Struthio camelus: one gene and its partners. The protein of the gene in region 2 interacts with the protein of the main gene of each other region in a pairwise test. Links are inferred from orthologs where the notes say so. Each region holds a gene or a part of one and is shown on either strand. Other genes may lie near its edges.

Region 1 (7,345 bases), on a different chromosome or scaffold from region 2:
AAATAAGGAAGGAAAAGGGGGAATAGTCCCAATAGGGAAGGGAAATTGGGGAATAATGAGGAGAAATTCCCTGCTAATGGGGATTGAGGGGGGAATGGTCCCTAACAGTGAAGGAAAATGGGGAATAATGAGGGAATAGTCTCTAGTAGTGAAGGATATTGGAGAATTATGAGGAGAAAGTCCCTAATAATGGGGATTAAAGGGGAAATAACCATTAATAATGGAGAATTATGGGGACTAGTCCCTAGTAATGAAGGAAAATTGGGAAAAATAAGGGAATAGTCCCTAATAATGGGGAGTAAGGGAAGAATACTCACTAATAATGAAGGAAAATTGGGGGGAAATGAGGGAATAGTCCCTAATAATGGAGAGTAAGGGAAGAATAGTCACTAATAATGAAGGAGAATTGGGGAATAATGAGGAAACAGTCCCTAATAATTGGGTATGAGAGGGGAACAGCCCCTGATAATGAAGGAAAAGGGGAACAATGAGGGAATAAGCACTAATAATGGGGAGTGAGAGGGGAATAGCTCCTCATAACAGGAAATAAGGGGGGAATGGTCCCAAATAAGGGGATAATAGCCCCTAATAATGAAGGAAAGTGGGGAATAATGAGGGAATAGCCCCTAATAAATGGGGAATAACCCCTAATGGGGAATAAGCAGTAGGGTAGCCCCAAGTAATGGGGGAATAGCCCCTAATAATGGGAAAATAATAGGGTATATCCCCTAATAATGGTGGTTAATGGGAAATAATGAGAGAATAGCCCCCAATAATGAGAGATAATGGGAGATATTAGAATAACCTCAAATAACGGAGGAGAAGGGGGGAATAGGCCTTAATGATGGGGAGAAATGGGTAGAAATGGGGGGGAACCCCTAATAATAGGGGAGAATGGGGAATAGCCCCTAATAGTGGGGAATAATGAAAGAATAATCCCTAATAATGGGAGAATAGCAGCTAATTATAGTGAATAATGCGGAATAATGGTTGATAATGGTGGGGCGAGGGAAGGGGAAATAACAGCTAATAACGAAGAATACAGGTTAATAGGGAAATAGCTGCTAATAGTGGGGGAAGGGAACCGGAATAATGAAAATAACTGTTAATAACAGTCAAAAGGGGGGAAATAACAGGATTTAGTTCAGCGCTGGGCTTCCCAGCGAGGGGGGCCCAGGCATCCGGGCGCCCTCGCCCTGGGCCTGGCCCAAGCGAGGAATTCGGCCCAGCAGCTGGGGAGGAAGGCCAGGACGCCTGGGCCCCTGGCAGGGCGGGGGGAGCAGCAGGCACCCAGACCCCACCCCGGACGCCTGGGTCCCTTTCCCCAGCTGCGGCTGATGGGGTGGGAGGAGAGTCGGAGCTGCCCAGACGCCTGGGCCCTCTCCCAGCACCTGTTTTGCAGGGGCGGAGGGGGAAGGGGGGCAGCCCGGACGCTTGGGCCCTGTGGAGCCCTTTGGGATCAAAGCCCCCCCCCCCCCCCAAACAGCTGTTCCCCCCTCCCCAGCTGCTGCCCCCCCACAGCTGTTTTGGGGGGGGAGCAGTTGGCACACCCACGTGGGGACCCAAGCGTCCGGGGGCCCAGGCGTCCGGGGAAAGGGGAGGGGGCACCTCCTCCTCCCTTCCCCCCACCCCGGGGGTATTTTTAGGCCCCGAGACATGCGGTCACTGCCCAGCCATGCGTGGGGGGGGGCAGCCGGATGCCTGGGCCCCCTTGATGGGGGGAGGAGGGGTTACTGTACGTCCATCCGTCTCCCCCACCCTGGGGTCTCCCCCTCCTGGGGCACCCGCAGGCCCGGCTGGGTGCCAGGCCAGGGCTGCGCCGGCTGCACCCAGTACCTGCCTGCCTGGGCCCGGCCCCTTGGCACCGGCCGCTGGGAGCGGTCATGCCCCCGGGGGACCCAGGCGTCCGGGGTGGGGGGCCCCCAAAAGGTGGTTTTGAGAGGGCCCCGAAAAGGGAGTTTCGAGGGGGCCGGATAAAGATAGTTTTGAGGGGACCCCCAAAGGGCAATTTTTAGGGTCCCCCAAAAAGGCAGTTTCATGGGGGCTCCAAAAGGGGGGATTGCGATCCCCAAAATAGGGAGTTTCAAGAGGTCCCAGAAAGGCAGGTGCAAAGGTCCCCAAAAAAGGCAGTTTTGAGGGTCCCCAGAAAGGGTGGTTTTGAGGGATCCCAAAAAGGACAAATTTGAGGGTCCCCAAAAAGGCAGTTTTGATGGTCCCTCGAAAGGCAGTTTCAAGGCATCCCTGGATAGGGCAGATTTGAGGATGACCAAAACGGGCAGTTTGGAGGGTCCCCCAAAAGGTAGTTTCAAGGCACTCCAGAAAGGTAGTTTTGAGGGGTCCCCAAAAAGATGGTTTTGAGGCTCCCAAAAAAGGTGTTTTCACGCTTGGAGGGGGGGGGTTTCAAGCCCCAGGTTATTTCAGAGGGATTTGAGGTGTTTTCAAGCCCCCCCCCCCCTTTTTGGGCGGAGGCCCTTTTGGGGGGAGTCCCAGCCCTCCGCTGTGATTTTGGGGGCCCCTTTTGGAGGTTTCCAGGTCCCCCCCCCCCCCCCCCCGAGCCCCCGGGTGGACAAAGGGAGGGGAACAAAGGGCTTCCCAGAGAGGACCCAGGCGTCCGGGCCCCGCCTCCCCCCCCCAAGGTGAGGCGTGGGAACCCCCTGGGTCCTAGCTGCCCCCTCCCCACCTGCTCCGCCCAAGGGACCCAGGCGTCCGGGCTCCCAAGCCCCCTTGGCAGCCCCACTCCGAGCTTCGGTGGGGGGGACCCAGGCGTCCGGGCTGCCCTCCCCTCCCCTCCCCCCCCCCCGCAGGAGGAGGAGGGGGAGAGGGCCCAGGCGTCCGGGCTGCCCTCCCCTCCCGGAGGACCCAGGCGTCCGGGGGCTGCGGCAAAGAGGAGGCGGCGTGGAGCCTGGTGGGGGCACTGGGGGTGCCGGGGGGGGGGTTTGGGGCGTTTGAGGGCACTTTGGGGGGGTATTGGGGGCACTTTGGGGGAATATTGGGGGTGTTTGGGGCACTTTGGGGAATATTGGCACTTTGGGGGGTTTTGGGGGGATTTTGGGGAATATTGGAGCATTTCGGGGGGATTTGGGGCACTTTGGGGGTATTTGGGGTACTTTGGGGGGTATTTGGGGCTCTTGGGGATATTTGGGGAACTTTGGGGGGGATTTGGGGCATTTCAGGGGGTTTTTGGGACATTGGACGGGTATTTGGGGGTATTTTGGGGGGGATTTGGGTCACTTGGGGCAGAGAGCTGGGGGCCCCCTATGGGGAGCTCTATGGGGCCCATGGGGGGCCCTGAGGGTCCCCCCAGCCCCTGGCAGCCCTTTAGGCACCCCCCACCCAGCCCGTATGGAGGCACCTATAGAGCGCCTGGGCTGCCCTGTGTGTCCTCACTGCCTGCCCCCAGTCCCCTATAGCCCCCTCTAGACTCCCCTGCCACCCTATAGCTCCCTCTGCCCCCCATAGAGCGCCCTACAGAGATGCCTATAGAGCCCAGATAAGGCAGCGCAGCTCTAAGCACCCCCTATACCGGCCCCAGAGCATTTTACAGGTACCTATAGGATGAAACCCTATAGCCTATCTCTATACCCACCCGCACGCAGTGCCCCAGGGAGGCGTGCAGGCCCCTATATAATTCGTTAAGAGCCTTTAAGTGCTCTCTGCCCCGATCCCTATGGCTCTTCATGTTGTGGGTAGCTATAGAGCTGGGCCCTGTGGACCCTGTACGTTCGTGTGTGCGCTTGGCATGTGTGTATAGACACAGGGAAGCCTATACAATGCCGTAAACACCCCTATGGCCCTGGGTAGCCCTGCAGGTAACTGTATAATAAGCAAAGTTTTATGTTTGCACGTACAGTGTGGTGTATATGTATCCGCATACCCTTATATAAGCCATTAACACCCCATAGGCTCCCGCTACGCACCCCTATAGCGCAGCGTGGGTTCAGGGGTGCCTGCAGGTGCAAACCCTCTACCCCTATATGTAGGTACCGGTAGCACTTGTCTGCCCATAGCTTCTCTACGCACACCCCTATAGTACTTTATATAAACTCCTATAGGGGTTTATAGCCATTTTGGGTGTATACTTAGGACTATATAGTTTTTTTATAAGGTACAAAAACTTAGGTATAGATATACATGCCTATAGTAACACATACAGAAGCTTCTGTATCCGCAGGTCTATGTACACATCTATGTGTATCTATGAAGTGCACGCATATAGAAAAAAAACTTATGTAGTGACCATATAAATACAGTATAGGTGTATATGTATATTTGTCTCTTTAAGTGATTCTATGGCTCTACAGTTATATATGTGCTTATAATATATTGTATGTTATATGTGATTAGTAGTTGTGTGTTTCTATGTGTTTTGAAGTATGCGGGAACGTGCTTATATAACGGGGATTTATGAGGAGGGGCTCGAAACAGACATTTAGGGGCTCAAAACTGACCTTTTGGGCCAAGGCAGGGCTCGAAACTGGATGTTTTGGGGCCGGGGGGGGCTCAAAACTGACGTTTCAGGGGAAGGGGGGCTCGAAACTGACATATCTGTCCCCAGGCGGGACGCTGGCGTGTCGGGGTCGCCTTGGGGCCACCATGGGGCCCCTCGGCCTCGCCCCCCTCCTCCTCCTCCTCATCACCACCGCGGGGGCCCAGGTGTCCGAGCTGGAGCTGGACGGGCTCCTCGACCTGGGTGAGACCCCTAATGGGGGCCATATAGGGCTGTGGGGGGGGGGAGCCCTGGGGGATGTATAGCAGTTATATGAGCTTGCGGGTGCCCTATAGGGGCCATGAGGGGTGGTTGGGCTGTAGGGGGTATATAGGGGCCACATGGGGCTGAGGGTCCCCTATAGCAGCCATGAGGGGTGAAGGAGGGTGTATAGGGGCCATAGGGGCTGTGGGGGGCTGATGAGCTGTGGGGGCTGTATAGGGGGTGGGGGAGCCATGAGGGATGTATAGGGGCCCTATATGGGGCTGTGGGTCCCCTATACGAGCCGTGGGGGGCAGGTGGGCTACAGGGGCCCCATGTGGAGCGGTGGGCTATAGGGGGTCTATAGGGGCTGCGTAGGGGATGTGAGGCCAGCGTGTCCTTGCTGTCCCCTGTGACTCCTGTGTGTCCCCCCATGTCCCCCCCCGTCCCTGATGTCCCCCCGTGTCCCCCGTGTCCCCAGGCAGGTGTCGCTACGCCCTGGGCATGCAGGACGGCGCCATCCCCGACAGCCGCCTGACGGCCTCCAGCGCCTGGTCCGAGTCGACCGCCGCCCGCCATGGCCGGTACGGCCCAGTATGGACCAGTATGGCCCTGTATGGCCCAGCGTGGACTAGTACAGTCCAGTGTGGTCCTGGGTCCCCATCCCATCCCACCCCGTGTCCCGTCCCCATGTCCCCTCCCTCCTCCTGGTGTCCTCATCCCGCAGCCCACCATGGCCGGTGAGCCCAGTATGGACCAGTATGGTCCCTGTGCCCTCCCAGCGCCTCCTGGTGTCCTCTCCCTCTGCCCAGTGTCCCCATCCCATGGCCCTGGCCACCCATGTCCCCAATGGTGGCCCCGTGTCCCTGTGTCCCCTGGATGTCCCCATGTCCCTAGGTGTCCCCTTGTCCCAGCTAGTCCCATTTCCCTAGGTGTCCCCGTGTCCCCTGGGTGTCCCCCCCATCCCCTCAATGTCCCCTTGGTGTCCCCAGGCTGGGCCGCAGCGACGGGGACGGCGCCTGGTGCCCTGCGGGCCCCGTGTACCCGGACGAGGCCGAGTTCCTCGAGGTGGACCTGGGCCAGCTGCACGTGGTGACACTGGTGGGGACGCAGGGACGGCACGCTGACGGCCACGGCAAGGAGTTCGCCCGGGCCTACCAGCTGCGCTACACCCGTGACCGGCACCACTGGCTCCGCTGGCGTGACCGCTGGGGCGCCGAGGTGACCGGGCACCTTGGGGACCCCTTGGGGACTTCAGGAGGCGGGGGGGACATGGGGACGCGGTGGGGACACGGGGCGTACCGGCTGCCCTACAGCTGCCACTGGCACTGCTGGCTCCACTGGCTCGGGTGCTGAGGTGACCAGGCACCTTGGGGACACCTTGGGGACCGTGGAGACACCTTGGGGACACCTTAGGGACATGGTGGAGATCTCTTGGGGACCTTGGAGATGTCTTGGGGACACCTTGGGGGTGTGGTGGGGATCCCTTGGGGACCTTGGAGACCCCTTGGGGACCTTGAGGACACCTTGGGGACGTGGTGGGGACATGGGGACACATTAGGGACAGGGGATCATGGGGACCTTGGGTGCATGTTGGAGATTTTGGGGACATGACAGACCCCAGGGGACCCTGGGGGCATCCCAGGGATCACCGAGGGGCACTGGGAGACCCCAGGGCTCGCTGGGGATCCGGGTGATCCTGGGGCCTCTGGGACCCCTGGGGAGGCACTGGGATCACTGGGAGGCCCTGGGGATCATTAGGGATCTGGGGAGATCCCAGGGGCTGTGGGACCCGTTCAGGGACCTTGGAGGTCTCCAGGGATCCCTGAGGGTGCTGGGAGATCCCAGAGATCTAGGGGGATCCTTGAGTGCCTGGGTCCCCCTGCGGGGACCTTGGGGTCCTGGGGGGGGCTCAGAGGACCCCCGGGGGATGCCAGGTGGGGATCCGGGGGGATCGGGGGCTGACGCGGGGCCGCAGGTGATCGCGGGCAACGAGGACCCCGAGGCCGTGGTGCTCAAGGACCTGGCGCCAGCCGTGGTGGCCCGGGCCGTGCGGGTCTACCCCCGCGCCGACCGCGTCATGAGCGTCTGCCTGCGCCTCGAGCTCTACGGCTGTCCCTGGCGCGGTGAGTGTCACCGTCACCGCCTGTCCCCGTCCCCCGGTGTCACCTTCCCCCCCCAACCCCCACCCCGGTGTCCCCATCCCCGACGGCGGCGCGAGTGCCTACTTGTGCCCCCGGCTCTACGGCTGCCCCCGGGGCGGCGAGCGTCCCCGTGTCGTCGCGTCACCACGTCCGCGGGGTGACACGCTGCTGTCCCCAGCGGGGCTCCTGTCCTACGCGGCACCACAGGGGCAGGTGATGGCCCTCGACCCGGCGCCCGTCGTCCTCAACGACTCCACCTACGACGGCCACAGCATCGGCCAGTGAGTCCCCCCAGCGCCGCGTCACCGTGTCACCACGTCCTCGCGTCACTGTGCCACTGTATCCCCCTGTCCCCGCGTCCCCATGTCACCGAGTCCCTGTGTTCCCTGCATCCCCTTGTCACCGTGTCCCCATATCCTTGCATCACCATGTCACCGTGTCACTGTGTCCCCATGGCCCCACGTTGTGTCCCCGCATCCCTGTGTCACCGTGTTGCCATGTCCCCACGTCGCTG
Region 2 (7,164 bases):
GGCTCAGTCGGCGCCAGCTGTGGGAAGCAGCACATCAGTGCTCTTGGCTGGTCTCCTATTCTGATGCTTCAATGAGCCATTTCAGACACAGCACCAGGACTGCAGAGCTGTAAATTAAAAAAGAATAGCGTGAAAATACATGAAAACGCCCCTGTGTAATCTGCAAAATGTATTACAGACCAAAGAGATACATCTCAACATCTTATTCCTTTTTGAATATTATTTGCCTGCTAGCCATAGATAACAGGGGTTCAATAAACAGAAGACATTTCTCAAACAACTAATGCATGGTTTGAACTACTCCATAAAAGCACATTCCTCCCTCTTCGCTTTAGGAAAGCTTGCTAAAGTCTTCAGATGATTTTTCATAAGTCTTCCCCATCATCCAAGTCTCCTCTATAAGAAGGATAAACAAGGATGAGCATTTTAGAAAAATGTAGATACAGATTTAAATAGTGTGCAGTGAGTACTACTCACTAGGGACTCGGATAAGATCAACACAGCTATTGCAACACATAACGTAACCAAGACGGAAAAAGCCTCATTTCCCCTCCTGGATGTTCACTGCATACGTTACAGCCCTCTGTACATCTCGCTACTGCTGAGGTTAATAGAAATCCTATAAGCACAGAAAGAACAGAACATTCTCAAGAAAGCCTCTACAAAGAGGAGCGCGATCCCCAGGGTGAAAGCTTGTGTCATTGCAAGTTTGAGCCCAGATTTCATCGCAGGCAATGGCTAAATTCTCACTGACTTCAATCGCAGAGCTTGGGCTGTAAGACCCCACCACCACCACACTGCCTTGGTCTTATCCTTTTCAGTGAGGTTTCATTTACAGATTTTTCCTCAGCTACTGAGAGCTTAATCTTTTGGAAAGGACTGATGTCAGCATACATGGGGACAATTTTGGCCCGACTGGTTGGTATGCTGATGTTAGCTGCGCAGACGGATCACATACCAGATGCCCATTCCCGGAGAGCGGCATCCCAATAGGGAGCCTGACGCGGCATCTGAAGTTGCCTATTTTTAGGCCACGTCATGCATTGTGCTGTACCAGCACACCGAACCCTGTGCTCCGACCCCAACCGAGGGCTTTTCTCATTCTCCCAAAACGTTCGGGATAACGCTAGCAGAGGGGCACAGAAGAGGATCGAGAGGCCAATACTTCCTCGCTTGGTTCAACTAGTACAGAGCAGCAATTGGGGGAAACCTGAACCACGTTCAGAAAGGCAGGCTGAGGTCCTGAGCCAGTTTGCCATCCCTGCCTTGAAAAAACTAGAAACTGGTAGAACACGGTAATATTTAGGTTTGATGCATCTAAAACTGCCCGCTCAGCAAGCCCCCTCACCAGCAAAGCCTCAGCACACCCTGCAGCCTGTTTTGCAGCACATCAGTGACATCATTTGATATCAGATTTTTGTTATTACACAAATGGAAAATATCTTTCATCATACAAATAAGTAATCTACCTTCTAGCAAAGGTTAGCATCAGAGAAAGAAATCACGCTGCACAGCGCGATGAAGCAGGAAAATATTTTGAAAAGTTCTTCTGCAGACAAAACAATAAAACTCAGCCTTTATGAGTACAATCAAGCTGTAAGTTAAAAATACACGCATCATACAGGCAATAAGATTTGATTTTAATTTCAATAGTTCTTAAGCTAGAATGCGCCAGTAAGTACATTTTATAAGGCCATCTAATCTCAGTTCTATATTCAGCTTGTGTTTTTTTTTTTTAAAACCTGGAATACTATTTATTTTTTTCCACTGTTCAAAGAGATTACAAATTTTATAAGGTCCCTCCTTAACAGGCACTTTTTTTATGGGTATCTGAAAGAGGCAATTAAAAAGTTTACAATAAAAAGGATCAGACAAACACGTTTCCCACTGCAATTTTCCATACACCAACTACTGCCAACTTTACAACTTGGCAGACGCATGGGAATATTTCAGCTTTACCTTACAAGTCTCCTCCCGAAGTATCAAGAAAGCATTTTGTCAAGCTTCAAACTTCAGCAGGTTCTCGTGTTTGATACGGATAAGCCCCCAAATTCTGACTGCTTAACCAAACCTTACTGTAGCTTGGACTTTGGAGTTCTCATTTCCACTGCTCTTGGGCATATTTTTCCTCAGGTCTCTCAGAGCCACTGGCTGTTTCCATCCCCTCTCAGTTACTGTCCTGTTTTCCCACTACTCTGCACCTTTCCCCACAAGCATCTATGGAGGATCATATACACCTGCCAATCCTATAATTACACCACTCCAAAACACTTTTATCTCTTTGAGCTTCCCTGCAGACTCCCCGCCCCTCCCAAGCAGGTCCAAGTTATTTCAAGACCCTGCTTCAGAGTTTGATGAGCTTCTGTAGCAGACCTACAGACAGAAATCCCCCAAGTTCACCGAGAAGCTACACAAGTTACAGTTCATACTATGCTACTAATTCCAGGGCAGATATTCAAAGATAAGGGACTCTGGGTGAATCAAGGTGAAAGAAACTTGAAACCAGCATCAAAAGTGTGTGTGGGGGGAAATCACTCCCAATCAGGCAGAAGAGTATGATATGCTGAGCGTCATGGCCTTGCAGCAGCTGGGTGAGAAAAATCTGCTCTGCTCTGGGTAAGGCCCTGGGCTGTGTTTCCAGTGAGCTCCAGTTTATGCCAGAGCAGCCTACCCACCCCAGTGGGGAGGCCGCGTGCCATGAAGTTCACATGTGCGGACAGCATTCCCAGCCTCCAGCAAGTTACAGGCTGTTCAGCAGCTCCTGGCAAGCTCCTGCCCATATCATTTGCAGCTGCACAGCTCGGCCGACCATGGAGCTTGCTGCGAGCAAGGATGGAGATGCTTGGAAGCAAGTCAGCACAGCTCTATCCATCACACAGGCACCATCACTGCTGCCCTGCTCTTGGGCAAACTCCCACCAATGGAGCTTCTGACACTGATGTTTTCACACCGCCTTACCTCCCCTGGTGTCTCCACAGGCCCTCTCCCCCATGGTAACATCTTCATAACAATCTCCCATCAAAAATGTGTAATTATATATACAGCTAAGAGCTACCTGCTGCAAAAAGCATTCAAAGCAATTCTGTAAAGTTCAGAGGATGGGATTTTATTTTCCTACCAGACCCCCCTCAACATATCCTGCAAAGGACATCCAACAGGCAGCACTGAAAAGCAACCTTATTCAGACATTTTTACAAATTACATGACATTCATTTGCTCCATATATCTCATCTACAGCAAAATGCCTTCGCACAGCCGTACGCTGCAGCCACTGAGGTTATCAGACTGCAGCAATCACCGAGAAGGAGCAGGCATTCAGAGCTACATGACTGCAAGGAAACCAGTCAGCATGGTGGGAGTCAAATAGTCTCTCTGCTTTTCATGGCAGAAAAATGTGGTGTAGAGCAGTGTGGAAAGGAAGACACACTCACAGAAAAGAGGAGAAAAGTAGGGCAGGTTAAAGAGAAACTCATATGATTCACAAATCGAAAAGTCTTTGGGCATGATGCCCTTCAGACAGACACCGCTGAGAAGGACCACATGGCCTCTGCAGCAAGCCAAAGGCTGAAGTCATTGCAATTTCAGCTTCATGCACGGAGAGTAATTTACACAAGTCGTTGGTAGGTGGCAACACTACACAGGAATAAAAAAAGCACGGACAGCTTATTAAAGTGATGAATAGCCCGAGTCAGCTCAGAGGCGGACACTACAAACACCAAATACTCAGATTTACAATTATTTCACTTCTTTGAAGAAAGGTGGCTACAGAGTCCTTCCTTATCCTTGAAGGCGCCTGTGTACTGGCCACACTCAAAAGCGTGTCTTTCCTTAAAAACACACCTGCCGAACCGCATCTCTGACTCACAGAGCAGAACGAAGAGCTGCTGCTCCGCCAGCACCTGCGGGACGGGCTCCCTTGCGAGCAGCAAAAACCTCCCGAGACACTAGCAACCAGGAGCGAGGGCAGGAGGAGGAGAACAAGAAAAAGAAGGGGAGGAGGGAAAAAAGGTTTCCGAGGGTTTCTGGGCTGGAGCACAGCCCCTGCCCGTCTTCGCTTACCAACAGCGAGCGTGCCCTCTGGGAGCTCCGCGCCCGGCAGGAGGGGCCGGGCCCGCTCCGCGGGGGCGGAGGCGCAGGCGGAGCCGCCCCCCCGCCCGGCTATAAGGCAGCGCGCAGCGGCGGCGGGGCCGCAGCGTGGCCGGGCCGGGCCGAGCGGAGCGCGGAGACGAGCGGAGCGCGATGCAGAGCGCGCTGTTCCTGGCGCTGCAGCACCGCGGCGCGCAGATGGAGCGGAGCGGCCGCCGCCGCGGCGAGGAGGCGGAGGAGAAGGGCCGGGTGAAGAGGACGATGTGAGTCGGGGTTCGCGCCTGGGCTGCTGCCCGCGAGCCAGCGCGGCCGCGGAGGGGCGCGGAGCGAGCGGTGCTGCCGCTGCCGGGGGGGGAAGAAGTCACCACCTCTCGGCCTTTCCGAGCAGTCACTTTAAACACCCCTTTTTCATTCTTCCAGCATTAGAGACTGGAAAACGAGACTGAGCTACTTCCTGCAAAACTCCTCCAGTTCTACTAAAATGAAATCCAAGAAAGCAGGAAAGCACCACACCTACTTCAGGTAACTTCTGAGAAGCAGACTTGAAGTGACTCAAATATCTTGCAAACAAAAAAGAGCTGTAGTCTAATGTATTCTCCATTGCTTTATGCAGACCTTCCCCTGAAGAAGCCCAGCTGTGGTCAGAAGCTTTTGATGAACTTCTTGCTAACAAATGTAAGTTTGTCTTTAAAAAGTAACTTTTAGGAACAAAAGGGGGGTGAAGCTTCTATGCATTTCTAGGAGGTTTCTTCCTTGTGTGTCAGCCATATACCTCACTTTTGCTAATGCACACAGCTTCGATTCTGATCTTGGAAATAAACACTTTAAACCATTTCAAATCCGAATTTATAGAAATGTTATTTTCAAGTTATTTGTAAGCCAATATTGAAACATCGAGAACACTTTGTAGTAGAGGAATTTATTCTTGTTTTAGCTATAACCTCTGCAATGAAACCATACCTCTAGTTGGCTTTGCCAAATGCCAAAGTGCATTTGTTCACTGTGCTCTCTGCATATCCTAGACAAATGCACTACAACAATTTGGAAATTGTTTTGCAACACTGGTGTCAACAGAAGTTCAGTCGATAATCTCTGGGTTTTACCATTGCCCTGCAAGGAAAGCGCTTAGCAGCAGGGCAAAAAGGACTAAGAACTAACATCAGCATTTGCTCTTTGACCTTGAGTCATCCTTTCTGCCACAAAAATATTCCAGAGGTTTGTAGCAGTGTCATAAATATTTACTCCAGTCTAAAGGTTAACACATTAAATCCTATCAAGAGAAAATTTTAAAGTATACATGCATACATCACAAAAGGGAACAGAGGCTAGAGATGGCTTTCATTTGTGTTTACCTAAAAACAGCTAACTTAAGTGAAGCTTGCCAAGCCATTAGAGCGTTAATTTGTTTGCATACATAAATGTGGACTTTTATTGCCATGGCATCCGTGAAAGAAATACACCAGAACTACAGCAATATGTTTGGTAGGAGAAGACATGACAAATGGGTAAATTCAAGATTCCTGAAATACGTAATTGATGTATTTTTGCTTCCCCCCCGCCTTTCCCTAGATGGTCTTGCTGCTTTCCGAGCTTTTCTGAAGTCAGAGTTTTGTGAAGAGAACATTGAGTTCTGGCTGGCATGCGAGGACTTCAAGAAAATCAAGTCACCCCAGAAGCTGACAGTGAAAGCAAAAAAGATTTACAATGACTTCATTGAAAAGGAAGCTCCCAAAGAGGTAAAAGGAACTATATAAACACAATTGCCCTATTCTGTGGCTTTGTAAAGCCCTGCTTTATTTCTCTGCACTCATTTCAAGTTAAATGCCAAAAATTCATCATACATAGCTCCTTGTTAGTATCTGCATCAGATCAGAACTCACTTCCCTAACTGCATTTTCACTAGGTTGGAAAACTGCACAAACCGTGTTTCAGAGAGCACCCATCTTATTTCAGCTAGGAAAAAAATCAGAGCATCATTTAATACCTGTAACATATCTGAGAGTTAAACATGGAAACATCATATCATCTGAACTGCTTTCCTTAAGGAAGTTTCATCAATTGAAGGCTGTAGCAATAGGGTCTTTAACTTTTCTCACCTGTTACAAAATGTAGTTCTCTGAAGTAAGTGTCCTTCTTTGTATTTCAGATAAACATAGATTTTCAAACCAAGAACCTGATTGCTCAGAATATTCAAGAAGCTACACATACCTGCTTCAGTGCCGCACAGAAGAGAGTTTATAGCTTAATGGAGAATAACTCATATCCACGGTTTTTAGAATCTGAATTCTATCAGGAACTGTGCAAAAAGACTCCCATCACCAGAGTGGCCCAGGCAACATGAGCTACAGCAAGGAGCAAGGAGAAGTCTTGCAGCTACTGAAGAAGAAAGCCACAGATCCCCAGCTGCATCCTGACCAGAAGGGCTGAGATACCAAGTGCACAGTCCATCTGCCAGGATGCATGGACAAATATCAACTGTGTTGCAAAGCCGATAGCAGGGGATGATGCTGGAGGGCGTGCAGGGAGAGTTGGCAGCCAGCTGCTAGGGACACACCTTTTTCTGTGAACACTGGTGTGAAAAGGTGATTCCACATTTTCGATGAAGCCGAGTGACGTGACATTCCTCATGTCACAGTGGAGGTGTTGATACAGTAGGTTAGAGCAGAGCTTCCTTTTTGTAAACACAAGCAGCTCTGTACAGCTGAGCAGTGCTGGGAGCTTGAGTAATTGGTTACGTACTTATTTTTCCTAAACATCAACAGTGCTGCTGTCATCATTCACTTAGTGTCTTAACACCAGTTGTGTAAACTAAAGACTTCTAGCTGCAGACAGATGTATCAGGCTTCGCTGCAACTGCTCAACACTATAGCACTGTCACCAGCAGTATGAAGTGAGGAGGGGGGGGATATAATTCACTTCCCAGAGGAGCAGGTTGTGTAACTTAAGTATACAGGGCTGCATGATGTCAGTGGGGCTGCAGGAGAGCAGGCTGAGGGCAGAACATGGCCACAGCAAACAGGAACTATACATATTATATGCAGATTGTGGTTGTGCTGAATGCTGCATTATGTCATAATT
Region 3 (7,149 bases), on a different chromosome or scaffold from region 2:
CTTCTTCTCATAATGAAGACTGAAACAAAACAGGCCTGCTCGTCAGCTGACGCTAGGGAGGTCGGGTTGGCACCTGCCGAAGTGCTTCTGGGAACATCCCGTGATGCACACGGCTCTGGCTTGGGGATGGTGCAGAAGAAAGGCTGTTTCATGCCAGCCTATGGTGCAATGGTCCAGATACTGTGCTCTAAGAAGTGCACTGATAGAGCAAAGAGCACTTCCTTGTTATGTTTCCCTCCAGGTCACAAAGTTGAGGGTGTTGATGAGGGCAGTGAACTAGAATATTGCTATTACAGTATCTTTTACAGCAACTGAGGTCTTATGTAAGACTCTGGTTTATGGATCAGTCTCTAAGAAGTTGTTCTCCAAAAAAAGAAAAATCGGTGCAGTTCCATTAAGGAGGAATTTGGAAGTTTCATTTTCTGTTAGGGCAACTTGTCTCAAGATGCAGTCATGTTTTTTTGTTTGCTGTTAGGGTTTTTTGTTAGTTATCCAGACTGTACTAAAGGCTTGGCTTTCCTGAAAAGGAATGGGGGTGGGGATCATGCATATTTTTAAAAAAAAAAAAAGAGGAGGGGAGGATGACAGTGGTTTGAGCTTTGTAATGGCTGTAATGAAGTCACCTGGCTATAGATTTACTGCGTGCATGTTGGCCACCAAGCTAAACTTTCAGTGCATCAAGCTAAGCAGGGTTGCTTTATTTATACACTTGCTTTATTGTGGCTTAGAGTCATGCACAAATACTGGCAGCCAGTGTAGTGCTGGCCCGAACAAAGGACAAAGCTCATCTTGGGAAGAAGGCTGTTGCTAGAGGAGGCCACATGACTTGAGTTTTGCTGAGTACTTCTAACCCTGGAGGGATGGTGCACTATGGCTGTGACAGTGAGACAGCTTTTATCTTTCTCAGACATAGAGTGGGTGGGTGCCTCTATCTGTGCCTGGAGGGGTTTGGCCCAGGTGCTGTGAACCAGCTGAGAGGTGCTTCTGGGTGTGACTCTCCTTGTGGCCTAGCCTGCCTAAACTGGGTCATGTGAGCTGTGCTTTGACTAGCCCATCTCCTGCCCCTTTGGTTGCACAGGCAACATGGGGGAAAGGAGTGGAGAGAAATTCCTAGTTAACTGGGGCTTGTGCTCTTAGATCTTTGGGCAATGTGTGGAAGAGTCTACTGGTGGGCCTCTGCAGCTAGGGCTGCTGTGAACTGCAAAGGGTCCCCTGTTGCTCTTCAGGAGTACAGGTACATCTCCCTTGGCTGCTTCAGCAGTATGGGAGAAGGTTACGTGACCCTCAGACGTGCTCTTCTCTCTGGTTTAACATGGTTTGAGTGTTTGTGGGCCTGTCCCTGGGAAAGCAGGCAGGGAGCTGCCTCTAGCCTCAATCTCCCAGGGATAGTGAGGGACCTGGGTGATAAGTCAGCTCCTTACCTCCTTCCCTCTGTTTGTATGATTGCAAACAGCAGCAGGAAATGCAGAGGACCTGTGTGTAGGTGGTGCAGCATGAGCAGCCACCATCTCAGTGCAGGTGCTCTCCTCCCTCATGTGCTGGAGCTGTTCTTAATGGCTTGCATTGGAGCGCATTCGGCCTCTGTGCTGCCTCTGAGGCTCTTCTCCCTGGCTGACAACTTGAGGCCTGTGCTCATATGGCCCAAGTTCCTCTTAGTGAGCATCTAGCTGCTAGAAGGCTAGTTGTGTGGGTCCTGCTCTGGGCCAGGTGTGAGCTTGCTTGTGGGTAGCTACTTCTTGGAGGTAATTTCTCATTTTCTTTTTGAGAGACTGCACTAAGATGCTTTGGATCCTAAAGCCCTTGGTGGGGTACTTCCTCTCAGGTCCAGCCCAAGAGGAGATGGAACAGGTCTTGAGGGCTGACTGCAAGCCCCAAATGTCTCCCTGGGACCTGATGGGGTTGCTGAGATGAAGTTGCTGTGTCCGAAGAAGTCAAACAGATAAGTTTGTTTTTTTTTTTTTTTTTTTTAACCTGCTCAGCTGCCTTTTCACAAGCTAAGAGGTTGTGATGGGGTTTGGCCTGTGAAGACAACCTCTGCTAGAGTCATCCTCAAACTGTGAGGCCTTGGGCCTTGCGTGTGCTCTGTGTGTGTGTGGCCAGGCTAGATTTGCTGTCTTTTGAGCTTCGGCATCTTGTGTGCATAGGTTGGTTGTCCTGGTGTGTGAGCAAGTGCTGCAGCAGTTGATTCCTGAATACACTTGGCTACCTGGAGGGAAGCAGGGCTGGAAGGCTGAGCCTGTGCCTGAAGAAGGTGCCATGTCCTGTGCTTGGTAGGACATACAATGGAGCCAGTGGGGTAGTGGACAAGGGGATTTAGTGATAGGGAACTGCTGCTTGAATCGCGAGCTTTAGCTGCCCATGTTGTATGTCTCTACTCAGGCTTGGTTTTGGTGCTGCTCTTTGGGCTCCTTTGGTATTTGAATTTGCTATGAAGCTTTGAGACGGAAAGACATGAGGTGCCAACTGCCTGCAGAGCAACAGCATGTGCAGAAGAGATAGTGACGATGGGGAAATACTTCACGTGGCAGCTTTATCTTGCATGAGTCTTACTTGGCCTTATCTGTAGGGAAAGGGAATGATCACAGAAGCTAGCGGCCTTGCTTTTACTTCTGCTTTGCCTCTCAAATGCCTTTAAGCTGCCTGATGACTGCCTCTGACTTGTCAGGTGCACGTGACTCAATATCTTGCAGTCGTCTGCAGAAATTGGTCCCGCAAGTCCTGTGCCTGCTCTTGCTCTATATATAGATTTGTTATACACAGGGTACTTGCTTTAGCTGTGGCATAATAGAGGGACAAATCACATGAGATCAAAGGGTTTCCCCTTCCTTCTCCACCCAAATCTTGGGATAGTCCATGTAATCCAGCAGTAACCTGACAACTGATTCTTGCTTTGAGTTGGAGCCCCCCAAAACTTCTGGCACTGAGCCCACAGGAGATTTGGCAAGAGACTTTTTCTATTAAAATGACTGACCAGCTCCCAGCTAATGAGTTGCACTGGGAGATGAAGCTGCTTTCTCCTGCTGGGTTTGCTGGCTGTGAGCCACTCTGTGGGGCAAATGCAATGCAGCAAGCATGCAGCCTGCTTAAAATATAGGTGTCTGTCAGAGGGGGGATTGCATTGCAAAGAGGGTATCTCTTTTCAGCTCAGTCTCGGGTTGACTGGAGCTCCCAGTTGACAGTGGCTGTGATCTTGTAACCTGAGGATGTGAGCTCTCCTGAGGCTGTCTGTCAGGAGCTCTGGGCAAGCAGCCTTATAGGTGCAGGAGGCTTTGCAGAATAGGTTTTTGGCATGTCATCAAATCCACAAGTGTCCGAATGAAAACAAACCTGTATCAAATGGATCCTGGCTTCAAAAGTGCCTCCTTTCTGTGCTACGGAAGATAGAAACTTTACAGCTGGAAGGTAGAGGGTTTTAAAGACTGTAGAGGAAGTTTTTAGTCTCAGAGCTGAGCTATGCTCAGTATGCTGGTGGTAGTGGAAGTTTGTCTCTACTGGTTGCTCACCAGGAGCCTTGCAGGGAGATGTGGCCTGACACCTTCCCCTGAATGTGGCCAGGTTGTTGCACCATCTGAGTGACCTTGCTGAGGGAATGGATGCCCTGTGGTGTTATAATGGTCGTGGTATGGGGTGGTGAGGGAACATCTTGTGAGTGCAGAGGGATTTGACTAAACTCTGGTTAAATATGTACCAGGCCCCTAAAGCCTGGGGAGGGCAGAAAGGAGTGTGTGTTGGGTGGGGGTTTAAGTGCTCTGGACCCAGCTCAGCTGTTGCTAGTTCAGTTTGTTCTGGCTGTGTGTAGATATAGGAAGATAAGCCTGTGGCTTTCCAGCATGTGTTTTGGTCATTTTGGATGTTGTGACTTTCCAGCAGAGCAGGCAAGGCCTTTTTTTAGACCCATGTAACAGAAACGAGGAGCCCTCTTCCCAGTGGGAGCCAATAAAGTTATGGTAGACCCTCTCCCTTCACTAACTGGCTTCTGGGGACTTGCCAGCAGCGCTAATAACACACCGTGGACCTGTTTTCCATGCAGCAAAGCCTGTGATGTGGCTTAGCCCAAGGAGCTGGCAGGGATCCTGAAGAAGTTGCTTTGCACCACTTCAGCCCAAGATGGTCGCCTGTAGGCTTTCTATAGTTGTGTTTAAGGGTCAGTAGTCAAAAACCATGTTAGCATTGGAAAAGTGCATTTTCTTTGAGTGTAACCTTTTTGCTGGCTAAGCAGGAAAACATGGCAAGAAGAGAAGGTTTGGAGGCTTTGGAGACCTGTCCTCTGGCAGTACCACCAAGTTGGTTGTCTGTGAGAAACCTCTAAGCACACAAATACATGTAAAACCTCTTCAAAGAAGTGAGATTTGAAGGAGGGACAGTGTATTTCTGAAACTTGACTAGCTTTCCAGCAGAGCGTCCTGCTGAAAGCACAAAGAGGCCACATTAAAGTGAATGGTGGCAGGGGAAAAATAAAAGCCCTTTTATATGGTTAGCTGCAACTGCCCAGGCTTGTAGCTGGCAGAAAGTAGGACAGTCCTGCTGGGTTTTCTTCTCTGGGAAGGCTAAACTTGGCTGTGAGTGGGTGGAGGCAACATGCGTGGAGATGTGTGTGCCTCTGTCCGTCGTCAGCTTGAACCTGGCTGTTCAGAAAGCTTTGCTGCCATGAGACTGCACAGCTGCTGCTGGTAGTTATTTGGCTGCTTAGGCATATTAGCCCAGAAGGGCTTAAGTGCAGCCTCTGAGAGATGATTACATGTTTAACTCGCTGAGATGAGTTGGAATTGGGGCCTAAGTGTCTCTGCTGTTTGGGGCTTTGCTGAGTATCTGAGGTCTTGGGTTGCTAGTCAGGCTTGGAGCTTGGGGCTGATGGAGCTTTGTTAAAGTGAGCCAGGAGGTTGTGGGTGGAGGAGGATACCGCAGCATGTTTGCAAAGGCTGATTGGCTCATAACGCGGCTGGATGTCTGATCCCGTCCAACCAATCTGAGTTGGGTGCAGAGGTGCTGAGAAGTGTGAAGGGTTGCTGCTTCGGCTGTAGGTGTATAAAAGGGTTAAAATGGAGCAGGGTGGTTTAAATTAGGTTAAAACTAGGCAGGAAGAAATGGAGTGGTGGTGTGACTGCCTGTCCTCCAAACCATTGTCCAGCAGACTAGCTTTCTGCTGGATGAGTGAGCTGAACTGATGCCTAGGTGGTGCAAGGCGGTGTGGAGGTGAGGCTGGAGCATCTCCTCTTGGCACTAGCAAGCTTTAAACTGAGGGTCAAGTTGCTTAAAGGATTTGATTGAGCTGAGGAGTACACAGGTGGCAAAACTGAACCTGTACCTATGTTGTGGTTGTGCTTCCATGTGGGAGGCAGGAGGCCTGTGGCTGACTCTTGCTGTGCTCTTGGATTTCCCCCTGCTGTGACTCTCTTCCTCAGCCTGGAACTTTCCTGGTGCCCTGTGCCAAGGGATGCAGTGTCAAACCTCCGTTGTGGAAAAGTCCCACACGGGAGGGGAGTATAGGCTGTAGTGATGGACTGTTCCTATAGGGCTTAGGCCTCCTCTCTGTGGGCAGGAATCCCTTCCCTCAGGGGATGTGACTGTGTTTAGGGTCCTGAGGGTGATAGACTGGCCAAATGAGGCTGTAGAGCCCAGAAATGTGATTTGGAGGGGAGCTGTGGGAGGGAGGCCCTCAAAGGGAAGAGTGCTGTGTTAGGATAGTGGGCTAGCAAGTACACGGGGGCTACAGCTCTGCTGGGATCTGATGTGGGGTAGATCATTTAATCCCTCTTAGTCCTTAGCTCTTCTGTTTCTTGGAAGTAAACAGCTTGTGAGACCCTCCAAACACAAACCCTTGGACCTGCTTCAAAAGCAAGTTTCCTGCTGCTGTTAATCCTGCAGCAGTTGACCAAACAGCATTGCCCTGTCTGACTTCTTCTGGGCTGCAGGAAGGGAGTTATTAGCACACTCTTGCATTGCTCCTGACCTTCTAGGTAAATCAGGATTGGGAGGGATTTTGTGCAGGCATGTGTTTTATCCTCCTGTGTGTTGCTGGTAAACAGCTGCTAGCAGTCCTTCTGCCAAGCCCTGCCAGATCCTCCTTGCAGCAGAGCAGTCTGACCTCAGGTTGGGATGGTTTCCTGCTGGTGTTCAGGCAAATGATAACCAAATTGTGTTGCAGGTGAAGGAACCTGTTCTGAAGCCAAGATGTGGAAGTCTGTGTCTGTCCTGTGTGTCCTGGTGGCTTTTGCCAATGCCCGTAGCATTCCTCACTACCCTCCCCTCTCCAGTGACTTGGTCAACCACATAAACAAGCTCAACACCACCTGGAAGGTGAGTGCAGGGGATTTTTTGGACAGATTGTGGGACCTCCTCTCCATAGGACTCAACAGCTGTGATTTGGGAGTCTCATCACAGTGCTTGCCTCCAACCAGCCTTGGGTCCCAGCTGGCCTCCCCAATGAGTTGATGCCATCAGGGATTCCTGCAGTGACAATGATTGTGCACCTCCTCCTTAGAGCAGAGCACTGATGAATTCATAGACTAGGAGTAATGCTGAGAGGAGAGGGAACTCTGCAGGGCAGTGGAAACAAACAGCAAGTGTAGAAGTATATTGCCAACCTGGCCAAACCTGGCTTTGCCATGCTGCTGTGGCCAAAGCTTAGAGTTGGACCTGAGCTTACTGGCCACAGTGCCCTGTTCCTGGAAGGGGCTGTGTTGTCCTGTCACCGTAAGCAGCTTGGCTCTTGGCCTCTGGGTTTTAAAAGCAAGTATCAGATACAGGTTGGGTTCGAGGAAGATCTGGAGCCCCAGGCTAGTCATGCTGTGGCTGCGGACTGCACGTAGTGGCTGTAGAGTCATGTTCAGTCACTCTGTCTCTTCCCAGGCAGGGCACAACTTCCACAACACTGACATGAGTTATGTGAAGAAGCTCTGTGGCACATTCCTGGGTGGGCCCAAGCTCCCCATCAGGTGAGTAATCGGAGAAAGGAAGATGATGGCCCTGCAAAAGCTTGTGTGGATGCTCCTGTGCAAGTCTGCAGTGGGTGAGGGCCCTTTCCCAACAGGCTCTGAGCTGGGTCCCCCTGCATGCTTCTGCATGGGGTGCTCTGGGACTGGATGCTTGATTTGCAAGAAGAGGGTGTGAAGAGGGTACAATATGGTTGTTCCTGCAAGCTGCCAGAGC

What was found.
Region 1: the proteins of RGS2 (region 2) and DDR1 interact in a two-hybrid assay, tested with the Homo sapiens proteins (2 studies listed by BioGRID and IntAct). The link is inferred for Struthio camelus from reciprocal best matches to the Homo sapiens genes RGS2 and DDR1.
Region 3: the proteins of RGS2 (region 2) and CTSB interact in a two-hybrid assay, tested with the Homo sapiens proteins (2 studies listed by BioGRID and IntAct). The link is inferred for Struthio camelus from reciprocal best matches to the Homo sapiens genes RGS2 and CTSB.

Annotation. Positions count from the first base shown.
Region 1 is NC_090977.1:589,286-596,630, reverse strand, and holds the start of DDR1 (epithelial discoidin domain-containing receptor 1), read left to right. Parts: upstream 1-4,317; 5' UTR 4,318-4,478; coding exon 4,479-4,690; intron 4,691-5,172; coding exon 5,173-5,271; intron 5,272-5,679; coding exon 5,680-5,908; intron 5,909-6,665; coding exon 6,666-6,813; intron 6,814-6,915; exon of another isoform or gene 6,916-7,009; coding exon 7,010-7,112; intron 7,113-7,345. UniProt on the Homo sapiens protein: Tyrosine kinase that functions as a cell surface receptor for fibrillar collagen and regulates cell attachment to the extracellular matrix, remodeling of the extracellular matrix, cell migration, differentiation, survival and cell proliferation.
Region 2 is NC_090949.1:10,318,334-10,325,497, forward strand, and holds the start of RGS2 (regulator of G-protein signaling 2), read left to right. Parts: upstream 1-4,149; 5' UTR 4,150-4,239; coding exon 4,240-4,349; intron 4,350-4,506; coding exon 4,507-4,608; intron 4,609-4,699; coding exon 4,700-4,761; intron 4,762-5,655; coding exon 5,656-5,822; intron 5,823-6,232; coding exon 6,233-6,427; 3' UTR 6,428-7,164. UniProt on the Homo sapiens protein: Regulates G protein-coupled receptor signaling cascades. Inhibits signal transduction by increasing the GTPase activity of G protein alpha subunits, thereby driving them into their inactive GDP-bound form.
Region 3 is NC_090944.1:11,200,063-11,207,211, reverse strand, and holds the start of CTSB (cathepsin B), read left to right. Parts: upstream 1-4,092; 5' UTR 4,093-4,107; coding exon 4,108-4,144; intron 4,145-6,145; coding exon 6,146-6,297; intron 6,298-6,849; coding exon 6,850-6,935; intron 6,936-7,149. UniProt on the Homo sapiens protein: Thiol protease which is believed to participate in intracellular degradation and turnover of proteins. Cleaves matrix extracellular phosphoglycoprotein MEPE. Involved in the solubilization of cross-linked TG/thyroglobulin in the thyroid follicle lumen.